Struthio camelus: one gene and its partners. The protein of the gene in region 1 interacts with the protein of each later gene in a biochemical or structural test. Links are inferred from orthologs where the notes say so. Each region holds a gene or a part of one and is shown on either strand. Other genes may lie near its edges.

What was found. The genes of interacting proteins can lie anywhere in the genome.
Region 2: of the proteins of CDC25C (region 1) and PLK3, one has a biochemical effect on the other in vitro, tested with the Homo sapiens proteins (2 studies listed by BioGRID, with this or other methods). The link is inferred for Struthio camelus from reciprocal best matches to the Homo sapiens genes CDC25C and PLK3.
Region 3: of the proteins of CDC25C (region 1) and MARK3, one has a biochemical effect on the other in vitro, tested with the Homo sapiens proteins (3 studies listed by BioGRID, with this or other methods). The link is inferred for Struthio camelus from reciprocal best matches to the Homo sapiens genes CDC25C and MARK3.

What each region holds. Positions count from the first base shown.
Region 1 is NC_090954.1:300,696-308,441, forward strand, and holds the start of CDC25C (M-phase inducer phosphatase 3), read left to right. Parts: upstream 1-4,734; 5' UTR 4,735-4,866; exon of another isoform or gene 4,867-5,190; intron 5,191-7,746. Other genes in the region: C-terminal-binding protein 2, read right to left, coding at 1-12, 608-814, 3,313-3,457, 3,569-3,723, 4,215-4,263. UniProt on the Homo sapiens protein: Functions as a dosage-dependent inducer in mitotic control. Tyrosine protein phosphatase required for progression of the cell cycle. When phosphorylated, highly effective in activating G2 cells into prophase.
Region 2 is NC_090949.1:26,919,849-26,927,235, forward strand, and holds the start of PLK3 (serine/threonine-protein kinase PLK3), read left to right. Parts: upstream 1-4,379; 5' UTR 4,380-4,501; coding exon 4,502-4,663; intron 4,664-5,343; coding exon 5,344-5,451; intron 5,452-5,540; coding exon 5,541-5,657; intron 5,658-6,091; coding exon 6,092-6,221; intron 6,222-6,305; coding exon 6,306-6,393; intron 6,394-6,913; coding exon 6,914-7,009; intron 7,010-7,387. UniProt on the Homo sapiens protein: Serine/threonine-protein kinase involved in cell cycle regulation, response to stress and Golgi disassembly. Polo-like kinases act by binding and phosphorylating proteins that are already phosphorylated on a specific motif recognized by the POLO box domains.
Region 3 is NC_090946.1:72,266,358-72,273,922, forward strand, and holds the start of MARK3 (MAP/microtubule affinity-regulating kinase 3), read left to right. Parts: upstream 1-4,557; 5' UTR 4,558-6,578; coding exon 6,579-6,686; intron 6,687-6,788; coding exon 6,789-6,863; intron 6,864-7,565. UniProt on the Homo sapiens protein: Serine/threonine-protein kinase. Involved in the specific phosphorylation of microtubule-associated proteins for MAP2 and MAP4. Phosphorylates the microtubule-associated protein MAPT/TAU. Phosphorylates CDC25C on 'Ser-216'.

The DNA.
Region 1 (7,746 bases):
GTCCAACTCGGCCTTCACAAAAGAAAACCCACAATCATCAAGGAAAGGTAAAACAAACTTTAAAGACAAGATACTGGGGGAGACTGGGAGCCTAGACTGAGCTTATTGCCAGGGCCCAAGATACTGCAGCCCTGGAAACCCCTAGGATTGCCACAGGGATCCAGAGGAGGTTATTCAGTGCTGATCCCATGCTGCTAACTCTAGTCCTTCCCCATGCAATAACCTGCACTTAGCCTAAAAGGAGGCGTTTTTCAAGCCAAATCTGTACCTTGAGGTGGTAAGATAGTAATAACCTGATTACAGGAGCCTGAGGAAGGAATTGGTAGTTTTCAGGTGGCTTGGTTAATGGTATAGAGCCTATCACACAGGAAAACAGTCACTAAGAAGAGCTGTCTGAATGTTCCAATTTTTCTAACCATCTGAATAAGGAAGAAAAGCCCCAATCCCGTGACATATACCCAACTCTTGAAGATGTTCCGCATCACAGAATAGGGCACTAGCATTCCATATGAGTTAGTGTGTTTCACAATGAACAGCTGTAAAATTATCCTAAGTTCCCCAAAACATTCACAGTTCACTTTTTAGTCTAACAATCCCCATCACTTACCAAGTCCAATGATGCCCAAAGTCTCCCCACGGATACGCACAGCGCCTCCAGCCACTTCTCGAATCTGTTCTACGCTTGAGGCTCGATTCCCTTCCCGCATAGCCTGATGTAGCCAAGTAACACGGCGATAGAGGTTCAAGATGTGACAGAGGGTGGAGTCAGCAGTCTCCTCCACTGAGGAGGAAGGGATGTTGCAAACTGCAATGCCTACAAAGCCATAGAGTTCAAATGAGATGTTTAGCATCACAACACTAAACCAACATACGTCTCTTCAGGCACAAGGGCTAGAAGATAATTCTGTGTTTCAGAACGACTGCCAAGAAAACACACAGGATACGTTTCAGGATCTGATCCTATAGCAACATGGATGGGACCAGCCACCATTTTAACCTCCAGAAAATACCATTCCTTGCTTATAAATCCATTAGATTGTCACCACCAGCAGAGAAACAGGTTGAAATGAGAAAACTGGGTCATACAAGTGACAAAAGAAACTATTTTAGAAGGTCTGCATCCAAAAGATGCACTTACACCAGAGGTATTCCTGACAGATTAACTGACAGATTGTAGAAGAATTAAGGAGACAGATGGTTGAGCTCTTTCATGCCTCACACTCCAGATGCCCGTTTGCAAGCTTCAGCTTCCCCAGGAGCGACAGTAAGTAACTCATTAAACGCAGACAGAAGCCATAGGAGCCTCTCAAAATCCATTTGAAATTACATTTAAAAATAGCAACATATAATGCTCCCACTCCAGAATCAACATACAGCCACAAGGGACCATAAAAGCCATGGCTAGGACCATCAGGTAAGTTACTAATGCCGGAGTTAAGGTCCTGAAAGCACACATTACTGACAGCAAATAGAAAGATGTCAGAGCGCTATAGCAAAACCTGGTCATTCCTGAGCAGTCTACCAGAATAACAGGCTGATAACATCACTTCACTGCTACTATCCTTTATTCAAGGAACCTCTACTCCTGAATGGGCACATCTTAGAAGAGAGTGTTTCAGCTGACAAAACTTTTGGTAGGCAAGAAATAAAAACAAGATAGTTAGGTCAAAAATGGGCCTCTTCCCAGGTGTAACCCTAGACACTTGCCAAACCAAGGCAAGTCCACCAGCTACCTGAAAACTAGGAATGAAATCTGGGTGATGGGTGAAGGCACGTACAATTCCACAACACATCACCCTCTTGAAAGCCTGTGACAGAGCAGACATTCAAATAAACTCAGACCACACTCTCCCAAGGGAATGAGGAAAGCAATGCCCATACACAATCCCAGATATCAGACCTCTTTTCTCTATCCAGTCCTTTTGCAATCGTGCCATAATGCCACACAGAAGACACAGAGGAGATGAAGAAGGCAGATAGGGAAACCTAACTTCTTTTAATCTCGTTCACTGGTTACCATCTCATTTGACTTCAAAAAAGCTACGTACTTTCATCTGTTACATAACTAAGATACAAACATTCACATGAAACACGATGTATAAATATGGAAAACCCAAAGGGACACCACAACCCTTCAGTCTGATTTGAATATTCAGAACTCAAAGAATAGTATCATGCCTCAAAATGAATTAAAGGGCCTGGCTAAGCCTGGAAACAATCGTTACCCATCCATGAGGAGACAAGAATGGCCATGCCTAAGGGACACCAGACTGTCCCTCCAAAGTGAAAGCAGCAGTTTGATGGCAAAAGAACTCTGATCTGTTGTTAATGATTGCGGAGGGCAAGAAAAGGGAAAGCTTTGAATATGAATGAGTTGAAAATATGAATCGTGACTATAAAAAAATAGAGAACCCCTAGGTATGGGCTGGCTTCCATGAACTCAACCCCAAAATGTAATGGCTGGATGAAAGCCAAAGACCTTGCCAGGAACTCTTGAGAATATTCAACTGAAGCATTCAGATGAAAAGACTCTTTACACCTAATTCAGGTGCTACAAAGATGTGTGTTCTTCATTTATTTGCAATTTCCCTCTTCTTACAGATCTTGAAATTATGTTGCCTGTTTGAATTTTATAAATATATGCTTGCATTTGGTTTAAGCTTAAACCTATTTTGCATTAAGAAAGGTGTCAAACCACAGACATAACCCTAAAAAAGAAAGCACAGGGCATTCAAATGATGGGCCTTCCCAAGGAGCCTACAAGGTCCAAATGCCTCACTGCCATGTGTTTAATAAACAGCAGCTTTTTGTCATCTGACCCAGAGACTCTCCGCATACCTGAACTCCAGACTTGTAAAGGGATGTATAATAAGGTGTTGAATCAAAACTTACCTGCATATAAAAACTAACACAAAAACTCAATAATTGAGCATTTACAGTGGGTTTACCCTACATCAACATTTGCAGCCTTTTAGACATCACAGTTTGCTCAGTGCTTTTCCCAAAAGCAACCCTAAATTACCTCACCAATGAGAAATTATCTAGACATTGTATATAGGTTTCTGAATCCCAGACAATAGCAAAGGCTCTGTGACATCTATAGCAGAGTATTCTGAAAACACAAAAACTTCCTTTCGAGCCACCTACCAGCTCAGACGTTTATCTTTTTCCTAAAAATGCCTCATACTAAGCAGCTCCAAGTCTTTCTACTTAAAGGTTTTAAACATACTCAGTTAAAAAGCAGAAAAACGTGTGGCGTTCCTCTTCACATTCAGTTATAGTTGCAACAGAGCCCCGATGGTGTTGTCATACCTAACTCTGCAGCTGATTTGATGTCAACGTTGTCATAGCCACTGCCAATGCGTACAATGACCCTGAGGGCTTTGAATTTCTCTAGATCCTGACGAGACAGGGTAATGGTGTGATACATCAGAGCGCCTACTGCCTCATTCAGCACCTACAAATAAAAAACAATCTCAATCAATTCATCTCTCTTTGCTAACTCTCTGAGATAACTCTCATAGTTAGCTAGCTCCATGCCCAAATGCTTGCATGTTTTCATTCCCACCTTTTCATGGATTTCCTGAGTTGACTGAGCATCACAGAATGCCACTGTAGCAACATCCTTCAAGATGGGCATCTCCACAGTGCAATCTCTTCCATCCAGGAGCGCAACCAGAGGACGAGCTGGCATTGGACCATTCACAATAGGCGGTCGTATGCCTATTGAAAAAAAGTGGGCATGAGTGACTACATGAAAGACAGGAATCCTGAAGCCATCATTTGCATTAGTATATACATGTGTTTACAGCGGTCCAACGGATCACTAGTTATTTTAAACTTCTGCAGCATTTAGGCAGGGATTAGTCAAAACAAAAGAAATAAACAGCAAGCAAACGCAGGAAAAAGAAGCCAGGAAAAAAAGTACTCTGCTGTTAGTACTTTAATAGATAAAGGAAAACGCGCTCTATCAATAACGAGAGAGCAGAGAAGGTCTCCCGACGAGCATGCCATCTCACTCCAGGCTTCCGAAGTCCCGGCAAAGCTGCCGCAGGGCCGAGCCCCCGGGCCGGCGGGCCCCGCCGCCCCCGCGCAGACGCCGGCTCCCTCCCGAGGCGGCCCGCCAAGCCCCGCCGCCTTCCCGGCGCGGGCCGCGGGGAGGCCCAGCGCCGGGCAGCGGCCGCCGGGCCGGGTCGGGCCGGGCCCCGCCTCACCTTCGCAAATCCGGTCCAGCCGCTGCCGCTTCACTTTGTGCCGGTCCATGGGCCGGGCCGGGCCGGGCCGCGCAGCCCCGCGGCGCTGCGAAGGCACTCGCCGTCACCCGCCGCCGCCCGCGCCCCGCTCCGGCTCCCGCAGGAAGCGGAAGGGCCGGGCCGAGGCCCGGGCAGCGCCGCGCCGCGCCCCGACAGCCATAGAGGCGCCGCAGCACAGAGTGCCGCTCGCTTCCGCTTCCGGCCCCCGGCCCCGCCGCCGCCGCCGCCGCCGCCCCTCCTGGCGCCGGGGCTGGCGGGGAGGGAGGCGCCTCCCAGCCCTGCCGCTAGGAGGAGGAGGGACGGCAGGCGATGGCCGGAGAGGGAGCGGAGGGGCGCGGCCCTTCCCGCCGCTCCCGCCCTGTTCGCCCCGCCCCGCTCACCTGGGCCATCTGCAGCAGCTGAGCGGCGGTTGGGTGCTGCTCCGGGCCACCGCTCCCGCAGCGCCTCGGCAGGCTGTGAGCGGCTGCGCTGGTACCCCCGCCGCGCAGGCGGGGAGGCACTCCAGCTCTTGGCAGGGCCCGCATCCAGCAGGGGACAGTGGGAAGCAGCACTGCAGTCTGTAAGGCTCCGAGGTGTCTCCGGTTTCCAGGAACTTGCTGATGAAGAGTCCCAGGTTAGACCCAGGCTGAAGAAGCGGGGGGGCTCTGTCCATTACTGTCTTGTGCGCACAGGAGAGACAGCAGAGGCTTGGCTGAAACTGCAAACACAGGCTTCCTGGGCCTGGCTCAGCTCTGCCAGTGCAATTCCTCAGGAAGTCCTCAGAAACAGTGAGCAAATGGCAGCGCCTCTTGGGAGGGAGAACTGAAGTCTTTTCCAAAGTAGAGTCCTCAGTAGATGTCCGAGATGCAGTTTGGCGTTCAGACAGGTGCCTTGGCTGCAGGGAGCCTGTCAGGAAGGGTGGCTGCCAAAGCCTGCGTTGCCTGGAAGGCTGATCCTAGGATATGGGGTCAGGACCTCCTAGGAAGCTCTCTCTGCATGAGACAAACAGGAAGCCAGTCAAAACATCTCTACTTCTGCCTTGCCACCTTTTCAGCCATATTCCCCATGCATGTCCTGTGGTCCCGTGAGGGGATCAGCACCACAATATTCACCCAGCATTTCTACATCCCATGTAGCAACAACCCCTTAGAGGTAAGGTCCTACTTTTACCTCTCCACTGGGTGAGGGATGTTCACTGCCTTTCCTGGAGGAGGGTTTGATCCCACATGTGTGCTGACTGACACCACAATCGCTCATGTCCCACAGGCAAGGGAGCTGTACAATACCAGAAGGCAGCTAATTTTCTAGCTCACCCACTACTCCCCAGCTGCTGTGCAGTCTCCATTTCTATTGTTACCTGATGGCCATGAAGAGCTGGAGCTGCTTATTTCTGGGCAGGGGTCTCAGAGTGTGTAATCTTTACTCAGATTTTTCTTTGACTAAGTGAGGAAGGGGTCTCAGAGTGTGTAATCTTCACTCAGATTTTTCTTTGACCAAGTGAGGAAGGATGCAAACATTGGGGGAGAGGTGAGGTGGCAAAAAACATTATGCAAATGGAGGAAGACTCAGGGGACAGGACAGAGCAGGTGGGCACACAAAGACTGACAAATCTTCCTCAGCCCAGCCTGTATTCTGGATATCCAAAACTTACTCACTTTTCCCTTAGCAGAGCATTAAGATACTTCAGTTGGAGTTTGGATGTAAAGGAAGAGAGGTGATCACCTCCTTCACTGTCCTTGTTTCTCAAAGAGAAACTGAGCAGAAAGAACTTTGCTGTTTAGGTGTGAGTGAAGACACGAAACCGAAGCGCGGCAGATGCCAGCCACAAAGGAGCACATAAAACAGTGCGTGTTTACTTCCTGATTGGCAGTGGCCACTTGATTCCTGATTGGGATCCCAGGATGGAAAGGGACTCCGAGTGGGAGGCAGAGGAGGAGGGCGAACAAAGACGGGCTGGGCAAGGCCAGAGGAGCGTGATCCGCCTGTGCTGCCGGGCCCAGCCGCCCAGGAGCCCCGGCAGCACAGGGGTCTGGTGGGGCGGGCCGCGGGGGAGACCCAGCCGCAGCGGTGGAGAGCGGCAAGCAGGGCCGAAGTCACGACTGCGCTGCCCCGCCGAGGTGGTCTAGGAGCGACTGGTGGGTAAGGACCAAGGCGCCCACCAGGCAGTGGCTCCTCCAGCGCCTGCTGCTGCAGCTGTTCCGTGACCAGCACGAGCATGGCGGCCCAGCCCGGTCCGGTCCCAGCAGTGCAGGTCAGGAGGGGACAGGGCCCGCTGCGGCCGGGCTGCTGTCCCGGTGGAGCTGCTATGGTGCTGTCCAGCAGTAGCAGGGGCAGGTGGGCACCTCTCCCGGGCGGCGCAGCCAGGCAGCAGGGTCATCCTGGGGGAGCCACGGCCACGCGGGTCCCAGAGGCGCTGGCTCGAGCTGCGGGGCCGGGGTACAGAGCAGCCGGTGAGGGTGTCGGGCCATGGTGGTCCTGCACCCATGCCCGCCGCTCGCGCGTACCTGTCCCTCCACTGCACCTCCTGAAAGGGCTTCTTCGGACTGCAAGTCACCAGAGCACGCTGCTGTGGCTCCCAAGAGAGTGGCCAGCCCCTGCCTTTCAAACAAACAGCTGTCTCATTCACCAGTCCAGCAAAGAAACACCATCAAGTTACCTGATGCATTAAACACATCGCTAGGCAGGACTGTTTCTCTGAAACGCGGTAATTGGCCAGGACCCCTCCCTCTACACCACAGCAGAATGCTGCTCGGTGAGCACTACGATAACAGACCTAAGCCCACAGCCTAGATTTGCATGTCCCAGAGGGTATCACACTCCAGCTCTTGCAGTACTGATGGGACAGAGATGGGCAACTGTGCAAGCACAGGGTACTCTGCACCTAGTCCTTCAGTCTCAGAAAGCAGCTGGAAGGATTGCAGAGGGGGTGTTAACGCTGCAGACAGGGAAGCAATGGCCACAAGAGCTGGCAGGCATCAAGAGTGTCTTAGTCTCTCCTCTAAAGAGACCTCACATGCCACAGAGTGCAAAATCTCACGAAATGCCTGCTATGCACACTAAGCCTATTCCCTTTAATAAGCTTGAGCTGCCAGAGAATGGAAGTGTGACGGACACTGGCAAGTGAGAGCACAGAGGAGGATCCACGAGTTTGAACAGGTCTAATGTTAGCATGACTGGACTTCTCCCTTTCTCCTTCCCTCAAAGAGCATCGTTCTTACATACAACTGAGTAGGCACCTAGGGCAACAGATGGAAGCGTCTTCCAGAAGTCTTTGTTCATCTTGAGCAGGATACTTGCTAGGGGGATCCCAGGCATGCAGAGCTCGTCTCCACAGCTTGATCTGCATGTCCCAAGAGCGACGACTATATTTCTTGTATTTGTTTGGTGTTTGAGGGTGAACTCCTGGCTGCCGAGCAGCCCTAAGAGCAAAGCACAGTATCATCAGCAATTAGGAACCTTCTTAAAATACTCTCATCTGGCAGCAAGTCTCCCCGTTCCCCCCAAATGCCAGAAA
Region 2 (7,387 bases), on another chromosome or scaffold:
GGCTGCCGGCACTGCGGGGCTCACCCGGGGCCAGGGATCCAAGGAGCGCTCTTGGCTCCTGGCCTCGGCAGGGCAACGGCTCAGAAGCGAGGGGATGCAAAGGCATCTCAGCCCCATGGCCTTCCCAGCTCCGAGGAGCACCGTGGCTCGTCCCAGGGAAGGAGGAAGGAGCTGGGGCGGCCGGGAGCCCAGGCATGGGGAGGAGCACTGGGGGGCAGCTTGCAGGGTCACAGTCTCCCTCTGGCTGCCGTTTCCCCGAGTGCTCTGGGTGCCCGCGGAGGAGGCCTTGCTGCAGGGAGGGAGCGGAAATGCTGAGCCGGCAGAGCGGGAAGCTGGCAGCACACCCGGCGCAGCACAGCCAGCCCGCGCACGGGTGCACGGTCCAGCCCCAGGCATGAGGAGCTGCACGGGCAGCTCTGTCCTCTGTCTGAGAGGGCCTCGTGGACATGACCTTCCCAGGCTTCATGGACCTGCAGCATCTGCTGGAGCTGAGCAGCACCGAATAATGTGTGTGTGCTGGGGGGACCTCTGGGGTCACTGGTCCAGCCCCACTCACAGCAGAGCCAGCCTTGACATTAGATCCATCTTCAGTCTTAGATCAGGTCACTCAGGCTTCATCCAGGCAAGTTCTGAATACCGTGAAGGATAGAGATCCCACACCCTCGCTAGGCCTCTGTTCCAGTGTTTTACCACGCTCATATGGAAAAAAAAGTTTCCTGTCATCTAGCTGGAATTTCCCTTGATGCAACTTGTGCCCGTTGCCTCTCATGCTTTCACTGTGCATGTCCCTGAAAAGTCTGGCTTCATTTTCCCTGTAACTCCCTTCAAACAGTTGCAGACAAGCAGTAAGATCACCCCAAAGCCTTCTCTCCTCCAGACAGAGCAGACTGCTGACACTAAACCACACGGTCCTCACCACCCCCTCAAGCTGATGCATGGGAAAACTCCTGTCTGAATGAGCACTTTTGGCTACAGTGGGTGCTGGAACATGATTGGGGCTGGTGGGGGCTCTCCTGCGGCACCCCCGCTCGCAGTGGGACCATTGCTGGCCCCAGCTAGCCACGGGCAATTTGGAGTCACACAGGCCATAAGTCCTGGCACTGTGGGGTCAGGGAGAATAGGGTGAAACGTGGGATCTCCTGCCATTGCACATCGGGTGCCTTGGAGGACAAGATGTCTTCATGGACTGAGCCCAGCAAGATGCCACCCTCTGTAGCTGACAGCAGTGAGCCTGCAGCTGATTTAGGGGGAACAAGCTCATTAAAGGGAGGAATGTGCCCCAACCTGTCCACGTGGCCCCTGGGAACAGCAGGGCCACAGCTGAGTTCACAGTGTTCAAGTCCGTCCCTGGTTCAGGAGTCCTAGTTAGTCCCAGCCTCAGGATCCCAGCAGTCAGGTAGCTCCAGGACCAGCGTCTCCTCAAAAATCTCAGGCAAGCTGTCTGTTGCCTGTCTTATTCCTGGCCACCTGACCCACTCACTCCTCTCCCATGCCTCCATCGCTTTGCTCCCAGGATCAAATGCTCTCACTTTTCCCGGCTGTTCTCGCAGAAGGCCGGTCCCTGACCAGCATGCAGGTAGCAGTGCTGGCTGAGCGCTGCCCCCAGGGAGGGAAGTGGGCAGGGAGGCGGCGGGCATGGCCCGAGGAGGCGGATGTGATGCTCTCGCTTGGGGACTGGCTTGCCCTAAAAAGCTGACTGCCCCCAGCGTGCCAAGCAGGGCCGGCCGGTCGGTCCCCCTGGGGTTGCACACAGGGACACATGCGCACGCAAACACACACGTGGGACGGGTGCTCTGCTGTGAGCATCCCCAGGAGCCCGGTGCTGGGGCTCCCTGCGATGCCCCTCCAGGGAGTCGACCCGGCGAGGCTGGGGTAGGCGATGGCAGGGCTGGGAGGAGGGTGCATGTGGGCAGGATGGCTTGAGAGCTGCGCATGCTGGGCTGCTGCTGCATGTGTCCACCTGGCCACTAGTGTGAGAAGTTGTGCTGGGCCTCTGGCAAGAGGAGCAGCAGGAAGAGGCTGCCCAGCACCTTGCTCTGGCTCGGATCATCCTCTCCTCACAGGTCTGAGGCAGAGGGTGGAGGAGGGAGCTGCTCCCAGGGCTCCATCCGTCTCGGAGAGGAGGTGCCTGAGCCCTGGGAGGAGGCAGGGCCCATCCGTACCCCCCAAGCCTGGCCCGAGGGCCAGCAGTGAGCAGGAGCAGAGCGGATAGCTCTCAGCCATTGTGTCCCGCGGTGCCTCCCCCCGAGCATCTGAGCAAGCCCCGCTCCGCTCTGCTCCACCACCCTGGGGCGAGTCCCCTGAGCCTTCTCCCAGCACCCCAGGGTGCCTCCCCCCCCCCCCCGCTGCCTCCAGATGCTGACTCAGCTCTGCTGGGGAGCTCCCGGCAGCCTCCGAGCTGGGGCCTCCGTCGGAAAAACAGAGCTGCCCCGTGACGTCGCTGGTGCCCTGGGGAGCCTGGGGCCCCGGTGGAAACAGGCTGGTTTCTCTGAAGTGGCAGAGGCCTCCCTGCCTGCTCCCGGCACGCGTTTGCCACCGTGGCAGCAGGTTTGCACGTGCTTCCTGTACGAAAGCTGGAAACCTGAGAGACAGGCAGAGAGACGGGGTGGCGGAGGGGTGCAGGGATCCGAGCTCACACCTCCCCGGCCTCCGCTTTGCTGCTGTGAGAAAGGGGTTTGAGTTCTCCCTGCCCCCCCGAGGCTGAAAGGAGAGTCGCTGGGAAGCACCGGGCTATTTGGCAGGGGTGTACTCATACAAAACCCTCAGCGCGTTCAAAAACACATCCAGCACCTGTGCACGGAGCCCCCCAAACTGCCTCGGGGAAGCAGAGGGGGAGCACAGCACGGGGAAACTGAGGCACAGAGCGAGGGACTGGCAGTGGTCACCCCTTGAGCGGTACCCAGCAGGGAAAGAACAACAGCATTGTGAGGGGCAATGCTGCTGCTGGGGGTGCTCTGGGAGGGCGGGTGGCCACAGGGGTGGGGCTGCTTTTGCCTGCTCTGGGTGCCCGTGGGGAGGGAGAGCTGCTGCAGCTCCCCACCACGGGCTGTTTTGGGTGACGGAGACAAGGATCCCGCTGTGACCATGGCCAAGCCTCTGGGCTGAGCATCCCCTGCGTGGGCTGTAAGTCGTGGCGAGGGGAGCGAACCTCCAGGCTGGCTCTGCCCCGCAGGAGGACCACGGCAGACACCAGACCCGCAGGGCCGCGGGCGCAGGGGCTGCGCCGCACAGTCCTGCTCGTGGCCATTAGAGAGCAGCACCGCTATGCCATGCTGCCTGGATGTCTGTCCTGCTTGCCCACGCCAGCGCAAGCCAGCCGGACACATGCGCCGGAGCCCCCAGGAAGCAGCCTCGGCAGGGGGACACCCAGGACAGGGTGCCAGGCTCTCCCGGACACATGCGTATCCCCGTGGCTGGCTGCCTGGGACGGTGCTGCTGGTCCTGGGCTGGCCACCGGGCACTCTCTGGGCACGGGGTGCTGGGGACTGACCTTTCCGGGCTATCTGAGGGCCAGCAGGGCCCTGGGCCGTGCTACAGCCGGGGCGAAGCCTCGCTCCGTCACCCCGCGATGAGCCTGCCAGCATCTCCCCCTTGCCCAGACGCCCGTCTCAGGGCGGACGGCGGGTGCTTAGGGCGTCCGTACTCTGGGCTTCACTCACTTTTGCGAACCCGGTGGCAGGCTGGCTGCTAAAATCTGCGAGCGGCTGCAGACTCCCTCCTGGGAGGGCCGGGGGTGAGGAGCCCAAGCCCGTGGGGCTGACGCAATGTGGGAGGAAGGGGCTGAGTGCGTGTGTGCTGTGGGTGAGGGGGGGCTGCGTCTATCTTTATGGGTGTGTATGGGGAGAGGGGCTCCGTGTGTCTGCGGGGGGGTCCTTGTGTCTATGGGGGGGGGTGTCTCTGGGTCCATGGGGCGCTGCGTGTCTATAGCGGTGCGTGTCTATGGGGGTTGCCTGTGTCCGGGGGGGGGGGCGTTTCTTTCTGGGGAGGCGGCAAGTCTATGGGTGTCTGTCCGTCTGCGGGGACCTGTGCGTCCACGAGGCCTCGCTGTAGCTGGGGCTGGGTCCGTATATCTATGGGGGGTACGTGTAGGGGGCCTGTGTGCCTATAGGGGGCTATCTCCGATGGGGGACTGCGCGTAGCCCGCGGGCTCCTCTCGAGCAGCCCAAGACGTGGGGTGAGGTTTGGGGGAGGGGGGGGAAGGCAGGTGTGACTGCCGTGCCGTGCCGTGCCGTGCCGTGCCGTGCCGTGCCGTGCCGTGCCGTGCCGTGCCCCCGCGCCCCCTCCCTCTCTCCCCGCACCTCCGCCCCGCGGTGCGACTGCCCCTTTAAGAGCGGCGGCAGCGGCGGGGATGGGCGGGGCGTGGTGACGTCACTCCGCCCATTGATAAAGGCGGCGGGATTCCCTGCCGCCCCAGCGGGAGCGCTCGGCGGCGGCGGCGCCACGTGCGCGGGTCCGGCGGCAGCGGCGGCACAGGATCCCGGCGCCCCCGGCCCACCCCGCCATGGAGCCCACCGGCCTCTACCCGCCCTTCCCCGCCGCCCGCCTCCCCCGCGACCGCCCCGAGCCCGCCCCGGCGCCGCCGCCCCGGGCGGCCGAGACCACCCGCATCATCACCGACCCTCTCTCGGGCCGCTCCTACTGCAAGGGCCGCCTCCTGGGCAAGGTACCGCCGGGACCGGGGGGCGGGCGAGCGGCCCGGCTGCTCAGCGCCGTGACCCCCCCCCCCGCCGCGCTTGGCTCCCCCTTGCCTGGGAGCAGGGGGGACCCCGGGTGGGCCCCCTGCCCGGTCCGTGGGGCTCCGGTGAGGCGGGCGCGAGTGACGGGGCTGGTTGGCAGGCCGCCGCCCCGCGAGTTTCGGGGCGTGCGTGGGAGCGCGGGCGCCGCGTTCCCGGCCGGCCGGGCCCCGCGCTCGGGGCGGCGTGTGGGAGGCAGCGGGCCGGCCCCAGCCCGGCCGGGGCGGCTCAGCAGCTGAGTGTGCAGATCCGCGTGCTGACATCACGGCAGGAAAAACCTGTCGCTGTGCTGCTCGCTTTCGGTGGCCTCAAATCTCCCGGCCTGTTCTACTTTCCTGGCGGGTGCAGGACTTTCCAGGTGACCTGTCATATGGAAAGATGCAGAGCCTTGCTGTGGTGGGAGGAAAAACGCCCTGGAGGCTTTACAGGAACTGAATAAAGAAAATCCCTAGTCAAAAGCACTGTAGTTCAGATCTTAGTGGGCAATGTAGCAGGAGGGAGAGGTTCATGATGTTCTCCAGGCTGTGTTGCAAGGGAACAATTGAGAAGGCTTATAAGCACCTGTGGTGGCTGAGGCTAGAGCAATTCCTAACCACATCTTCCTTTGCAGGGGGGGTTCGCACGATGCTATGAAATGACAGACCTCTTGAGCAACAAAACCTATGCTGTGAAGGTTATTCCTCACAGCCGGGTGGCTAAACCCCACCAGCGGGAGAAGGTAAGTGGTGTGGGGTTGGCAGGGAGTGTCTGGCTGGTAGGGGTGCAGCAAGAGCCCTGCGCTCACCTGTGGCCCCTGCTTCCTTTCAGATCACCAATGAGATTGAGCTGCACAGGGACTTGCACCACAAGCACATTGTCAAGTTCTCTCATTACTTTGAGGACTCAGAAAACATCTATATCTTCCTGGAGCACTGCAGTAGGAAGGTGAGTGCTGGCTGCCAAAGGTTGCCCTAAAATAAGCCGCAGGTGGCTGGTGCTGGGCTGTATCTGAGGAGCTGCATTAGCACTCTGTTTTTCCTGGTTTCCACTGCTGCCCATTCTGTTCCATCCTCTGAGCTAACTCTGCTCAGCCACAAGCTGTTTGCTTGCATTGGAGACACCCTAGATTGCCTCTCCTATTCAGGGTATCTGCTTGTGTTGGTAACTTGTAGCACCTAGTGGTGCCACCCATAAATCCACTGGTTGTGCTGAGCATCCTGTGGTGACCTCAACCCTTTGTGTTCATGGCCATGGCAGAAGGATTATCTGTGGATGTGTGACTTTTGGAAGAACTAGCTTTTGCCTGTCCCTTGCCTAGTGGGTGCAGCTGCTTGTTCTCCCTGGCTGCAGTCACTGAACTGTCTTCTCTCCTTCTGCAGTCCCTGGCTCACATCTGGAAGGCCCGCCATACTCTGCTGGAGCCAGAAGTGCGCTATTACCTCAAACAGATCATCTCAGGCTTGAAATACCTCCACCTCAAGGGCATCCTACACAGGGACCTCAAGCTTGGTGAGTGTCCCTGTCAGGGTGAAGAGCAGTATGAGCACTGGACTGCTCTACAGTGATTGGTGATGCGTCACTCTTGTCTTGTAGGCAACTTCTTCATCAATGAAAACATGGAGCTGAAAGTGGGGGACTTTGGTCTAGCTGCTTGTCGTGATATCTCTGACCAGAAGAAAAAGTAAGTTTGAGTTTCCTCTTCCAGAGCTGTCCTCCAAGGGCTCATCTTTCTCTTCCTCCTGGCCAGCCTCCCAAGCAGAGGGGCAAGCCACCCTCCTGGCTGTGGTGGTGGTTGGGGCCATTCCTGCCCCAGCTGCCTGGGGCCCATGGCTGCAGCCAGGGAGAGGGGCCTGGAGGGGCTTACAGAGCTCACAGCCGTTGGAGAGAACAATGCGCTTGCTATAGCTATTGTGCCTGCCAGGCTGCCCTGCCGGGTGTGCGGGGCTGGGACACAAAGGCTCTGTTCCTTGCTGTATTGAGGACAAGCTCTTCCCAACAGCTCTCCAGGAACAGCTGTTCCTGACCCCTGGGGGCTGGGGGGAGGGAGTGTATGTGTGGGGGGCTCTTGTGGATGGATGGAGCCTTTCTACCCCAAAGAGCAAAATGGGACAGGGGAGAACAGGCTGTGAGCTAAAACCGAGGGCTTGGACAGGGAGAGGTTGGTTGCAAAGTACACACTGACCTGGCTGTTTGCCCTGCAGGACAATATGTGGGACCCCCAACTACCTGGCCCCCGAAGTGCTGCTGCGACAGGGCCATGGGCCTGAGTCAGATGTGTGGTCTCTGGGCTGTGTCATGTAAGTTGGTGCTGCTGTGCCCAAAGTGGCATGGCCAGGTGGGGTGGGGTCTGCATAGTCCTGCCTGCTCTGTGCGTGTCCCTGGGGCTGAGTGGTGCTCTGGAGCAGCTCTGAGGAAGTTGTGCTGTGCTTCATCTTGCAGGTTTGCAGTGACTGCTGAAAGGCAGGGGGAGGGCAGCAAGTGGCTGGGTCTAGCTGAGTGCTTTTTTTTTTTTGGAGTAGGGTTCCAGCTCAGGGGCTGGGAAGCTGCTTGAGAGCTGTGTGAGTGGGAGCTATATACTTGCAAACTCTCTCATGCTGTTCTCTGCTCTGGTTCAAAGTGGGCTTGACTGATCTGAGAACATGATAAACAATGGAAAATCTCTGTGGCTGGTGACA
Region 3 (7,565 bases), on another chromosome or scaffold:
GTGGACAATGAGGCAGCTATAACAATTACATTAGGTGATTCTCTACTTGCCTCTACCAGCTGATGCGCCCAGCCTTTAAAGTGAGGTAAGGGGAATATAAATACCTCAGTCAGTTCTGCATTTGCAACCTTTCTTGCAGAATGAAAACTCAAAAAAACACGCTTTTGAATAAATCAAAAAATATTCCTTATGTCTCCCACACATTGTACTCAATTCCACCATTTTTGCTCTGATCACAAATGCTGTTAAATTTATGGTCGACTGTGTACGTTCAGTGTAGTGTTACAGTGAATAGACGTGACATTTTCCAAAGGAAAAAAAAATCTAAATTCTTCACGATAACAGTGTTGTTTTGTATTGCATTCTTTTGTTTTCAGTGCGCAGCGATAGCCAAGAAAGTGACATAAAAACGGCACCTTAACTAGCATATCTGTTTCCTGTGTGTCTTTGAGTCATATTCTCCAATTTTACTAATAAAAAGTTTTTATAACTGTTAGCATTATAGAACAGTTAGCTCAAAACGTAAGCTGCAGCCTATTCTAGAGGGCATACAAACGTTGTCATCTAAGTCCCACCTACAAAATCTCTGTCACTATCGCTAGTGATAACACAAGAAGCAGAAACCAGAATTTGGCTGAGATCTCTGAGTTTTCAGAGCCTTTAGATAGGAAAAATCACCTTCTGATTTGTGAACTCAACTTGAGCAGTGCCTGATAACACGGAGAATATTTATAGAGAGCAACGAAATAGGAAAGTCACGCAATCTTTTTTTGACTATGGCAGCATTTTTACAAAGAAAGTGAATACACTTTGAAATCAACTCGTCTGCTTAAACATGAGAAACAGACCATACAGCAACAATGAGACATAAAAGAAAGTAGCTACTATGCAATTTGTCATTCCTTGTGCAAGCTCCTGCTATGTGGAAAAAAACAACACTAATCAATGCTGCTGTTTATTGGCAATAGAGCAGCAAAATCAGCCGTTATCTTTGGGGTCTCAAGTTCTTTCTTCAAAATCACTTTGCCAATCAGAAGTAAAATCCTGAGAGAAACAAAGATTCCTTTCCCACTACTCCCCCTTCCTCTTTCCCCCCTGCCCCTTTTTATTTGGGCTGTGAATGTTAAATGTGGGCTTTATTGAAGTAAACAGCAGAACGCCTATTGCATCAACAGGTCTAGGACTTTCACCTAACTATCTATAATTGCATAGTTTAAATTTTATCTGAGTGGAAGGGTGATATTAGTATAGATTAATAACATTACGCCGAGCTTATTTTAGTACCACTTGGTGTCTCAGCACAGACACAGACCTCAATTCTGCCGGCACTCAGGACAAGTAAACTCACACTCGCAGCAACGCTACTGAACTTGGCGTGCTGCTGAAAACTGCTGCCAGCCTTAAGCACTTGCAGTTCAGTATTCGGATGTTAGCTGGAGTCGCACAAACGCAGGAGGAGAGCGTTAGTCAGGTTAACAACCCAAGTAAACCTCCAAGTCTATTTTTACCCTTTTCCTGACTCTGTCATAAGTCAATTATCATTTTTCATAAACGTACTGTAAAGAACATATTCTACTGGCAACTGAAAAGAAAAAAAGGCGAAGAAGCAGCAAAAGCAGAGAGTCAGATCTGGATACTTTTCCTGGCTTTCCTTCAGGCTTCGTGACCGACCTTGGCAAACCAGAGAGAGGCAACTCCCACCCCGTTCTCAGTGCAAAGGGTCCTTGCCTGCTGCTGAAGGAGAGCGGCTGCACCAGGGACACCCAGAATCTGAGCACACATGCACACGGATGCGTGGAGACGTAGGCAAACACGACTGCCTGCACAAGAGAGAAGCGTTCCTCAAGCCCCAAATCCCTGTAGTTGATACAGGGCAAGGAGTCAGCTTAACTTGAGAGCAAGGCGGGAAGATGTCTCTCTCTCTCTGCAGGTCCGTTGGGTTTTCTCCTTCTGCGGGTCAGGTGTCACGGAGAATTTTGTAGCCCTGATGATGAAGGAACAGACAAGCAACTCATTTATCGGGCAGTGTTCAAAGGCTACTTCTCCTTGCCTGTGTCTCTAAAAGCAAGGAAACTATTACCTACACAACAGGATGGATTTCAAGGCTAAGCTAGTAAATATTTGTAAGAGACAAAGTTTGTCAGATAAGCTACGCTTTAGAAAGGCGAAATGTTATCGCTGTGGTGCCAGATCTCCAGAGATGCCAAGTTGCTACAAATCTCACCAAAACTAGCATTTGTTCTACGGAGGCTCACATTTTCTTCCCCCCCCCCGCCCCGGCCCCCAAAAAAACCACCACCAAAACTCCCAGAAACGGACGTTTGTCTCTAAACCATCTGTACATTGAGTATGTGCAAGTTACTTTTCTTTGTAGTCTTTAATTCCTCATTAGTTCTGCTCGTGAGCGCATCAAGGCCTCGCACACTCGAAAACGGCCGCGCGCGCTAAGTAACCGCCGGCCCCAGGGCGCACGAAGGCTGCGCTCCGACTGCACCGACTTTCGCCCTCCTGCAGCCAACGAGCCAGGCGCGAGGCGGGCAGTAAAACCCTCGGAGCCGCAGCCCGACGGCGCTCCGCTTAGCTCTGCGAGGGGCTCGGTGAGCCCCCCTCGTCCCCCTTTGGGCTAGCCAGGACCAACACAACTTTTGGCAGAGCGAGGCTGTTAAGGCCCGAGTCTTGCCGGCGGCCACGGGCGCCGCTCGCTCCCAACACTGGCCAAGCAGCGACCAAGTTCACGCGGATTTCAACGCTCCCGCGAGCGGGCAGCCGGATCCGTCTCCGCATCCTGCCTACAGAGCAGCGGTTTCCAGCACTTTCAGCGGGTTTCCACGATCCCCGCCCTGCCCCCGGCGGCGCTCCGGGCCCCCCCGCCCCGCGGCGGCGGCCCGAGGCCCCGGGCGGGAGGGGGCGGCGGACGCTGCGGCCGCAGCACCGGGCCAAGTGCGGGCACCAACGGCCCGGCCCCGGGCTAGAGGGCTGCAGGGCCGCCGGCGCCGGCCCCCCGGCGGCGCTGGGGCGGGGGGGAGGCGGCGGGGCGGGCCCTTCCGGTTCATGTCGGAGCTGGGGCTCGGCGCGGAGGAAGCCGGGCGGCCATCTTGGCTGGTCCGGGAGCGGCAGCGGGGCGGGGTGGGGGGGCAGGAAGGCGAGCGTAGCGCAGGCGGGCGGGCACCCACCCAGTCAGTCACCCACCCACCTCCCTCCCCCCCGCAGCCCGGCCTGCGGCCCGGGGCACGCCGGCCTTCTCGGAGCCTGGGGCGGGCGGGCTGCGGCGGGAGAGAGGCGGAGCAGGATGCGAGCGGAGGCCCGGTGAAGCGGGGCTGCAGGGGCGAGGAGAGGCGAGCCCCCGCGGCGGGCGGGCCGGCCTGAGTGCGCTGTAGCCGCCGTGCCCCGGCGGCGGCGGAGCAGAGGGGCCGCCGCCGCCGCCCTGCCCGGCTGCCCCGCGCTCCGCCGCCGCGCTCGATGCGGAGCCCGGCCGCCCGCCGCCGCCCGGCGCTGAGCCCTCCGCCCGCCCTGCTGCGGCCCTAGGATGAGCCCGGCGGGCGCCCAGGGGCAGACGCCGCTGCTTTCCCGCGGGGGGATCTAGCCGGGGCGTGGGGTGCCGCGGAGGAGGAGGAGGAGGGGGGGGGACAGCGAGGCGACGCCGCCCCCCGCCGCCCCCGTCCTTCATGGTGGCGCTCTGCGACCACCATCGCGGAGCAGCAGCGCAGCCCGTCCTCGCGGGGGGGCCGCGGCCGCGCCGGGGCTTTTGTGCGTGCGCGCGCGTGTGTGTGTGTGTGGGGCTGTGGCGAGCCGCGCCGCGCTGCCGCCCGCCTGAAGTAAAATGTCCACTCGGACTCCATTGCCCACGGTGAACGAGCGCGACACGGAAAATGTAAGTCCCGCGGCGGGGGAGGGGGGGGAAGGGAGGGGAGGGAGCCTCCCCCGGGGCCGGGAAGTGGGGGGGGGGGGTGTAGAGAGGACCGACCCCCGCCCCAGGCCGCCGCGGGGGTCTCCCGGCCCGGGGAGGGAGGAGGAGGAGGCGGAGGGGGGGTTGAACTGTGGCGGCCCGCTCCGCCGCATCCCTGCCCGGGCAGTGCCCGCTGCGGCCTTTCCCTCAGGTGTCTCTGGGTCGCGCGGTTTTGGGAGGGGGTGGTGACAGGGCACAGGAAGGCTCCGCGGGCGGCGGCGGAGACCAGGAGGCCCCATGCGATGCTGTGGCCCCCTCACAGACGGCCTGGCCGCCGGCCGGCAGCGGCCGGAGAAGCTGCTAGTCAGCAGACTGCAGGCAGTAACTCCGCTGTGGTAGGGGTGGGCTCGGTGACCTAGATAATAGGGCCTTTTCCGTGTTTTAATTTTCATGGTTCTACCCGATAATGACGCTGTTCTGCCGGTCACCTGTTCGGATGGCGTTAAAAGGTCCTCTTTCCGAAATTACCTTCTCGGCTAGAGAGCCTGTTCCTGCTTTCATTTCATTTCTTGTTTCCCTTCGGCAGACAGGGCTTAGCGATATAAATGCCTTGTTTAAAACATGCCATTTCATTCACAAGCTTAAGTCAAACGCTGTATTAACAATCATACAGGTCGCGTGCTAAAGGGGAGGGAAAAAAAAAAAAAAAAAAACAGAGTACTGCCACATGAGCAGATAGCCAAAAACGAAGCTCAGTGGGAGAGTCCCTTTCTGCAGATAGGAACTATAATTCTTGTAAGTTAAAAATTACTTGATCCCACTGTGTTCTCCCGTCTGACCATTATTCTGTTTATCCTCTGGGCAAAATGTAAGCAGCTGTGCAGAAGGGAGGTGTCACCCAGGATAGGTCTAAAAGGAGTTGATTAGTAAACTTTGTATTTACCTCCTTACAAAGGCTACCTGATGTTCTTTATAAGTCAGATGTCAAGCTTGATAGAAGAGGATTTTTTTTTGGAGGGTGCTTATCTTCTGGATTGGCATGAAAAGTGGAAGCTTTGGTTAAAGATCAGGAAAAACCGCTGGATTGTTCAGCACAAGAAAAGTGATGGTAGCCCCATTGTTTAAAACAAGACCAGACAAAGCATTAGAAAACATGCTGCATGGAACAATTGCTGCATTACCAGGGATTTGGATTTTATTGGCATAATAGGCACTTCTAACTTCTGTGATCTGTATTTGTTTTAGCACTTGATGCAACCTGCAGGCTAAGGGCTATATTAAGCAAAAAGCCAACTAAGCATATTTGGTTGTAAAATCTCAATGAGCTTCCTGCCTTGTGGGAGAAAATAATTAAAATATTGTGTGGCCCTTTCTATGCCATGGGGAGAGGTGAAGTTGTCGGGTACTCTACAAAGTACTTGACAAAGTTTATTCAGATAATTACTCTAGTCTGTGAGCAAACCTGACTGAGGTTTTCAAGCTCCACTCACGTGTATCAAGGCCGCCCAGTAAATCACTTTAGAAAACTGTTCATATCAGGTTCCTAACATAATTAATTCAAACTCCACTGTAGATAACTTAATGGTGGAAAGACTTGGTAAGTGCTTGAGGAAATAAATTATTCACAAGCTGTGTGTTCTAGCACTTGAAGTTAGATTTTACATGTCTTCCACTTAAGTCACCTCATTCTCACTTCAGAATATTGGACTAACACTTCTCTTTAGTGATCTTTGTGACTTAACGTACAGGGGTTGTCTTGCTTGCAGATGAATTGCCTTAGGTTTTGATTAAGGCAGATCTCTTAAACGCTGTAATTGGGGCTGGTGACCACAGAAATACCTGTAGGTAGTGGTATGGGTGGTTACTCAGATTAATCCCTCCCTGTCAAATCCATTGAAACAATACAGTACTACATTCCTCAAAGAGGCTTTCTCTGCTATTCTGACCGTCAGCTGTTAAGAAAGGCACCTAAATGCATGCTGTTAAACATTACGAAAATTAAATTTTAATCTGATATTTAGTTTGTCTGAATTACGCCCGCACCTGTAAATGCATGCAAAATTACCCTCTGGTTCTATTTTTTGCTACAAAATATAGCATTTTTGCTACTTCAACTAACTGTTTTTCCACCCTAAAGCCTGATGTATATTGGCAGGTGAATTGAGCCCTTGATTCTCTTTCACTTCAGTGAGGTTTAATTAGTTAATATTCATGGGACTCTTTGAAGTTCAGGTGGGAAGATGCTTTAGAAGTGCCAAGCAGTCAGACAGCCTTTGGGCCATGGCCCCCCTTATCGTCTTTTCTCTATTTGGAAGATTACCACTGCTGACAAAGGCTTGGCTGGTGCTGAATCTGGTTTAAGTGTGCTGATCATAGTTTATCCTGCCTATACTTGCATTTTTGAAAATGGAGTTAGCCTCCAGAATGATGGTGAACAGAAATTATCATTGTCTATGCTTGCAGGTAACCACGTTCAGCAGTTGGTAATTCTTGTGGAATAGAGGAGGCCTAATTGTCAGTGCTTGCTTGCCTTTTTTTTTTTTTTTTAAGGTAGCGCATACCACTTCTTATTGAGACACTTCAATGCATATATTACTAAAGTGGAAATACATTCACAGTGACTTTCCCCAAAAGCTACTCACAGCTATCAAACCTTTAAAGTTCGAGATTGAAGAATCTGTGGCAACAGGTCATGTTTTTGAGAGGAAAGGCATCCCAGATGATCTGTGATCACAGGAACTTCCTACTCGGACAGTTGGGAACTGACCATTTGCCTGCAAATTTGCTCCTCACCACAAAGGTAGAGTAGCTCCTTGCTGGCAGTGCCTTTTACAGCAGTGGCTGTCAGCTGCTTAGGGGACAGGAGTGAAGGAGAGGGTCAGATCTTTTCTATTTTCTGCAGTATTTTATGTCCTGCGTATGGGAGAAGAAGCAACCGAGGCAGAAGAGACCTCCTTCCCCAAAACGGAGAGAGAAGGTAGACTCAGTAGACGACACTAGTATACCTGTTTTATTAGTGATGGGGAGGAAGAGACAAACTCCCTGGAGGAGGAAAGAGTGTGGAAACACAGCGGAAAAGGAAAATAGGTGGTGGAAAACAAGATATAAGGAGGCACAGAGGAATGTGCATATGGCAGCATGGAAGACAGCCAGTGACAAAGAAACAGCAGCAGAAAGAACAGATTCTGGAGAGCAGGACAAATATATTCAGAAAAAAATTTCCCAAGGAATGACAAGGTGATAGGGAATTGTGGATAGAAACAAGGAAATAAAGGTGGTAAAGATTTTTTTTTTTTTAAGAGCATGAAATAGCAAGAGAAAGAAACATTTCTGAGTGAACAGTTTAATCTAAACCTCAATCTTCATTGCACAGCTGTGTTTCTGGGGAAAAAAAAAGACTAAGGTAACTGTTTTGAATGTGTTTTGTGTTGCAGACCAATCTGAATTCAAAATACAAGTAATTTGAGGAAAAGCGAAACTAAAATATACTCTTATCGCCGTGACTGTGGCTAATGTGAAAAATTTGCTATTGAAAAATGCCAACGTGATGGCAATTGTGCTTGTTCAAGCCTGTACAAAAGGATTCTGTGCAGCAAAACTGTCTCATTTCCTTTTCTATATTTAAAAAGGGTTAGTAAGTTTAGGGTTAGACCCAAAAATTTATTTTCAAGATACTGTG